Linked DNA regions of Oryzias latipes. The protein of the gene in region 1 purifies or fractionates together with the protein of each later gene. This does not show direct contact. Links are inferred from orthologs where the notes say so. Each region holds a gene or a part of one and is shown in the gene's direction. Other genes may lie near its edges.

What was found. Proteins that work in one complex are often made in the same cells at the same time.
Region 2: the proteins of snx8 (region 1) and fbxw7 purify together in Homo sapiens (affinity purification with mass spectrometry; 3 studies listed by BioGRID and IntAct, counting the BioPlex papers as one, with this or other methods). This does not show direct contact. The link is inferred for Oryzias latipes from reciprocal best matches to the Homo sapiens genes SNX8 and FBXW7.

What each region holds. Positions count from the first base shown.
Region 1 is NC_019866.2:7,037,224-7,040,723, forward strand, and holds the end of snx8 (sorting nexin-8), read left to right. Parts: intron 1-220; coding exon 221-370; intron 371-2,178; coding exon 2,179-2,328; intron 2,329-2,651; coding exon 2,652-2,732; 3' UTR 2,733-3,195; downstream 3,196-3,500. UniProt on the Homo sapiens protein: May be involved in several stages of intracellular trafficking. May play a role in intracellular protein transport from early endosomes to the trans-Golgi network.
Region 2 is NC_019859.2:19,407,869-19,411,368, reverse strand, and holds part of fbxw7 (F-box/WD repeat-containing protein 7), read left to right. Parts: intron 1-335; coding exon 336-459; intron 460-593; coding exon 594-730; intron 731-1,656; coding exon 1,657-1,770; intron 1,771-3,500. UniProt on the Homo sapiens protein: Substrate recognition component of a SCF (SKP1-CUL1-F-box protein) E3 ubiquitin-protein ligase complex which mediates the ubiquitination and subsequent proteasomal degradation of target proteins.

The sequences.
Region 1 (3,500 bases):
AGGTGAATTTCTAATGAACTACTGCCGCTCTGCAGAAACTATGTCCTTGAAAATGACACAAAATGAAAATGGCTGAAAAGATGATTGGAGCGGGTATTTAAGGATGACGGACAGTTTTATATTAGAGAAATTCTCAACTAAAAAAACTTTTCAGCAAATAAAACTGCATCTGATCTATTTTATATATTTTTTTGTTATTATGTCATGTTTTTTTTTGTAGGATCTCTGTGAGCGACATGAAAAGGGCGTCCTCCATGAGCATCAAAGGGCTCTTCAGAAGTACGGCGTGATGAAGAGGCAGATGATGAGCGCCACTGTGCAGTCCAAGGAGCACGCCACAGTGGAACAGCTGGAATCACGAATCGTTCAGGTGAAATTTTCTCCAACTCTACCTTGTATAACCAGAGCTGTACTCATTTATTCTTCTATAAAGTAAAATATCCTGCTTTTTTCTTTCCTTTACTAACTAAAGACTAATTTTATAATTCTTGGTTTGACAACTTAGGGAAAAAAGTTGTTGATTTATTTATATAGGGGGTAGAAGGTCATTTTTGTTTATAACAATGTTGCTTAGTGCAGAAGCTTGGACCAAAAAGCGTTTTTATTTGATTTTTTTTTTTCACTGGTTCTTTTGTGAGAAAGGCCAAATAAATGTCTTTGTGGTGGATTTGAAGCTTTTTTTTTTCTTCTAAGAACAAAAATCCCCCAAACATTAAAAATGTGAAAACTCCCAAAACATAAAATGTTCTTTTTAGTTCCTTATAAATACTTTAAAGCAATAAAAAGGAGGTTATTTTAAAGAAACCAAAGCAGCCTTTTTGTGACCGCGTTAAAGCAAAGTCGCATTAAGAAAGTAATTAAGTTGCTGTTTGCTCCTGTACCCTCTGTGGTTTTTATCTTGGGGCCGCAGTTCCTTTTTATTTATTTTTTCACCGCGGTTTGGATGTGTTTGCCACACCGTCACAATTTCTGCATAGTTCCCCCTAACTGAGTTTGTACTTTTCTGACCAAACCAGCTTTAGCCTGAGGGCAGAAAATCCTACTGGATTCAAAAAGTAATATTAGAGCTGTTAATGTAGAAAACGAAGACAATAAGTTTTTATTTATTTATTTTTATTTGTGGAATTTTGTAAAATATGTCATGATCTGTTTTTAGTATTTTCTCTTCATTGAAGAGCTAAGATTAGATTAACATGTATATGTGCAACACTAAAATTATTGAAAAAAAATGACAAAATTGATCATATCACCTTAAAAAACATGATGCAAAAAAAAAAAAAAAAACAGACTGCAATTACTCTAAAAGAGTTTTGAAGGTTTGGATTTGGAAAAGGAAATATTAATTATACAGAACAACTAAATAAAATAAAGGAGGATACTAAAATAAGATTAATAGCTATAAAGAAATAGCCAAGGTGCTGTTTATTGGCAAGAAAGTCATGTAAAGTTGATCATTTGTAAGTGAAACTAATAAATGTAATGTAATAAAATTTAGAAAAATTATTTCTTTTAGAAATATTAAGTTTTTTTGCTACGGGTAAAAAAAATAGATTTTGTGTGATTTGCTAAATGTCAATGAGGCTGTCTCCTAGAAAACCTGCACAGAATAATAAAATAAATTAAAAAAAGGAAACATTTTGCAGGTTTGCTGCTCTCATGTTTTTAGTTGAATTGCCCATAGAGTAGGGGTGGAGCTATAACTGCCCCCCCTGTAAAAAGCTTTGCCCCCCCCCTCAATTTCTGAGTCAATATTAATATTATTATTGAGATAGATTAAGAAACGACCAATAGAAGCTTCTTTAAGTATTACAAGAATAACAAAAGCAATACTTTTGAATGAAAGAATTACATTAACAAATATAAAACTGTTTGAAATACGTGTTTTTGATCCTTTCATTTCATTCTGCCCCCCATCTTGCCCCACATATAAAATGTTCTGGCTCCACCACTGGATGGAGGTGAAAGAAAATCTCAACTTTTATAGTTTTTTTTTTTACAACAGAATTGATTAACAGGATTTTTGTGTCTTCTTTTGATAACATCCTCTTATCAGTCCTGTGTTTCTAACAAGCAGGATTAGCAACGGATTTCCCTTCTATTAGCATTTTATTCCTGATAATTTCTGTCATTTAATTAGTGCCAACCTTTTTTTTTTTTTTTTTAATGTTCTGATAATAGCAAGAAAGTGCCATTCAAACCATGGAGCTGCGCAACTACTTCTCCCTGTTCTGCCTTCATCAAGAGACGCAGCTTATCTTCACTTGCCTTCCAATTACTTCCCACATTCTCGGGGCTTTTGTTAGCTCACAGGTCCAAGGACACAAAGAGGTAAGGAGGCAGTCTGGGAATTCTTTTTATCCAGTTACTCACCTATAGTTTTACCCAGCAGCACTGCATGCAGGGACAGTCAGATCATCCATAACCTGACTTTAAAAAATGTTTTTAAAAAAAATGAGGGTTTGTGCAAATAAAATATTTTTTTGTTGAATTTGTTAAAAATATATGCTGAAATTGAGAAAATAAGAAAAATAAATAGACAGAGTGGTTTTGAAAGTTGCTTTTTGAAATATTAAATTTGTGGACCAAGTTGCAATATTTCATTGTTAACGATCTAAAGGGGAAGTGTAAATAGACATTTCTTTTTTTTACAGATGGGAGAAGTCTGGAATGAACTCCAGCCCAAACTGGGGTCTCTCTTTGCCAGTAAAAATGGACTGAAATCTTCCATCTGAAACCTTCATCATGCTGTGATGACTAGAAACACTCCCACATACGTGTAACGCACTTCATCAATTCCACTTTTCACTGAAGATCATCATTGGAGTCCTTTGGGCACTAATTTCCCACATTTCCTGCAAGAGTCACAAGTATTTCATCATGCGCTCTGGAATGAGATCAACAATTCAGAGTTTGTGACCATCAGCAGGCCAACAGGGATCCCCAACGCGGCATTTATACAACATTTTTATGAAGTACTTGATTGTGAATCTGAGTTTGATACACTAAAAGGATTAAGAAGACGAACACTGCAAAAATTGAGTTATTCACCTGTTTTCTTTATGCTTGTTGACTAACTTCAGAGTAATATAAAGGATTTTTGCTTCTAAAGTTATGTAGATGTTTCTTTTTTTGTGTTAGCTATTTTTTAATCTCACTGTGGAATATGTGAACTGCATAAATCTGCAAATGTTTTTTTTTTTTTTTAACTAAAACTACATTTATTATTCCAGTCATTTATTTGTGAAGAACAAAAAAAATGTATTTAGGTGAGTGGCAGAGGACTCAAACCAATTCTTTATCTTCTATATTTTGGCATGTCATCATAGCCTCGGGAAGCTGGATGACTGTAAAAGAGGATTCCACAAAGTTATAGAGGACAAGAAATGGCAACCTACAAAAAAATCTGCTGCTCCAGAAGCTAAGGCATGTTTTATATGTGAACATGGCAGGGAAAGTATTATGATGTGTTTTTTTGTGTCTCCTGACATAATTTGTTAAAG
Region 2 (3,500 bases), on another chromosome or scaffold:
CAACAGTGGAATCACTGCTTTACAATCTGGGAAAATTTGAATTTTTTGTGTGCAAATAATATACATACCAAGTTGTACAAAAAAAGTTGATCATAAAAGTCTGTGAAACAGGTTTTTGTGTCTGTTTAATTGAAAAAATGGGTACATTTTCTTTTGTCCACACAGAAGTATGGATTCAAGTCAGGACCAGCAATTCTTTTTAATAGATTTTTCAACTTTAATCTGATTACTTTCCTTAAAGTCATTTTTTTCCAGTGATGTGCACAGTTAAAACGTGCATCAGCAGATGGATCTACTTTATCAATAACCCCCCTCTGTTTCCTGTCTGTCTAAAGCTTGCCTTGTATGTACTGTCATTCCTGGAACCGAAAGACCTCCTTCAGGCCGCACAGACGTGTCGCTACTGGCGCATCCTAGCAGAAGACAACTTACTGTGGAGGGAAAAATGCAGAGAAGAGGGTAATTTGTTTTAAAGCCTTTTGTAACCATTTTAGCTCCAATTTTGAAATGCTTTGTTAAGCTTAAAGTGGAAAGAGAATCTTCTTTTATTGGAAAATAAACTGTGTCAATCGAATCAGTTTTGCTTTTCACAGGTATTGATGAGCCTCTGGCCCCAAAGAAAAGGGGAAATGTCAAGGCTGGCTTTACCCATAGCCCCTGGAAGAGTGCCTACATCAGGCAGCACAGAATAGACACTAACTGGAGGAGAGGAGACCTCAAATCCCCAAAGGTACTCTCATTTATTTCTTTATTTTGTCTGAAGGGATCTTCTCAACATTACCTTTTGTGCAAACTTGAAATTACCCACAGCTAAGTGGATCTTTGACACGAAGATCACAAAGTCACAAAATGCTTAATATAAGTATTTGAAATGGAAAGCTGATGGAAGAAAAGTAACTTTATACACAGGCAATGCTGATTTAAAAAGAATCCAGCGGGGCAAGGTTTTGTTTTTGTGTCTTCTTTTTTAAATCTTTACTTCACATGAGCACAAAAAGGAATATCCGTAAAGGCATGGCCAGCATATTTTTGGCAAAATGTTTCATTCATTAAAGCTGTTTTATTTTGCGTCTCATTTAAGTAATTTGTGGTAATAGTTGTCCTTTTTTGAGGAGCCCAAATGCCTTCAGAAGGGGTTCAGGTTGGAAGATGTGTTAGGTTTGTTCACAGAGCTGCATTTAAGTGTCTTTTAGAATCTACTCTGACAATGATCGTCTGTATCAACGTTCTTTTGTTATTGTTGGAAGATCACATTTTTATTTTTTTGTGTGTGTGGAGGAATCTAATTACCATCATTTTAGGATCATTTTTCACACTGACCACTAACCGTTTGACCCCATTTCCTTAACGGGGTCAAACTTTTCTGCACTGAAGACTTAAATCTTAAACCACGCTAGGTGGAAGAAATGGCCAAAAGGGTTTGTTTTTCCTGAATTAGCAGTTAGTTTGTTTTCATTTAGCAGTAGCACTTGCTACCAGTTAGTGGGGACGACACTATTGCTACACTTTCAACACCAGCAGACATTTACCTCATTTTCACTTTGATGTGAGACACTCATCGCTGTATCTGCTCATGTCATTTGCGTTGCCATGCCTCATCCACCTCTCCTAATATCCTATTTTTCTCACCTCTCTTTTTGTCTTCCTTATCTCAAGGTGCTGAAAGGACACGATGACCATGTGATTACCTGCCTTCAGTTCTGCGGCAACCGCATCGTCAGTGGCTCTGATGACAACACGCTGAAAGTCTGGTCCGCTGTTACAGGAAAGGTAAGCCTGACAACCTTTCTCTGATTTATTTATCTCACTATCTTTTCTTTCAGCATTTTGTCTGGTGCACTCACTTTCCTGCTCTGTGGCTTCTGTGATCTTTTCCATCATTTTTAACCAAGCAAAAAAAAAAAAAAAAAGGATGTGAACGAACTTTCCTTTTTTAATCAGTTTTCAAGTTTTAAATTACTTGAGATAACATTACATAAAAAATAAAATCCTTCTGCACAAATCATGTCTTAAAGATTAATGTAGTTTTTAAGGAAAAATAACCACTTTGATTAAGTCTTTTTTTTCCTTACTGAAAAATAACAGAGTGAAAAGCATCTAGTATCAAAACCTAAATGCAACAAATCACAAAATAAAATGGAAAAAACCAAGCATCCCCTCAGAGCTGCATTACAGTGGGAGCTCTCAGTTCAGCTTTGGTTTGAGGCCTTAAGGAGGGAAATAAGAGATCATCCGTTTAAAGGCGGAGGCATAACTTAAACTGTGTAGTGCTAATTTGTATGCCATAAAAATTGATCTATAACCAGGCATTCTTTAATAGAAAAATCTTAATTACTGTAATGATCTAATCACACTTCAGAATTCTACCCATCTGGACTTTTAAGGGGATAAATATGTGAAATTCCTAATAAGCTCATTGAATAATAATATGAACTAAACACCCTTCCTCCCAATTACCATGCTTTCAGACTGAAAGTTGCTCTGGAGTATGGGTAGCAGATGCCAAAAAACACATTAGCTTTAGCCACACTGGCTCCATATTGGTGGCAGAAGTCTGTGAGTCATATCACATGCAGATTTGGCCTATTTTAGCCCATAACCCACCTGTGCTCTGGCAGATGTCACAGACACACAGCATTTTGTATGTGGGTTTTACAATGCTTATCTCCCAGAATGGTTTGTTTGCATTGGGTATGAGGAAGGGATGAGCCCGCATCTGTTTGCATGGCTGCTTTATTCAGAGCACACGTCCTCTGTGCGGATTACACGCCTTTTGTTTCCTTAGCTCTCGACACTTGAGAGAAGCCTTACTGGAGAGGAACAGCCAATTAAGTCAAGTCAAGCATTAAGGCAAAGTATCTGTTGATCCCAAGAAAAGTAAAGTGAAAACTCAAGCTTTCACCTGCAAAAAGCAGTTAGGGTTTACATTTGGAGTATAGGAGAAGGACAGTCTGAGCTTTGTTCTTTTATTTAATTAAAGAAGTGAGAATTTGGTCTGAGGCTGTGGACACACCGTGTTTGCATGAACGTGCGTTTAGGCCATGGTGGTTCTTGTATTGCTGTTTACTAGCGCATGTCTGCCACCTACATTTGGAAGAAGCTTGGTGGGAAATGTCGGCGTGTAAATCGTGCAAATCTTGATCCAGGCTATTTTGAAATACAGCTCTATTCCAAAATATGAAAGACTTGGTCTTTTGGAATTCCATCCGAGCACAAACTGAAACTGATAATTTCTCCTCCATAATCGATTTTCAAACAGTTGGCACTTCAATTAATGAAAAGAGACGCCATCCATACGTCACCATCAAATCCAAGTCCCTGATTAGTCAAAGTTTGACCTGGTTTAGGCCTGCACAATATACCGCAAATTTATCGTTATCGCAATATCAAGCTGTGCAATATGCATATCGCAAAAGACAGCAAATTTGCAATAAATGGTTACCTTAGATGTGGCCAAACAATCTTATGGCAGCTTGAAGTGTTTAATGGATCGAAAGAAT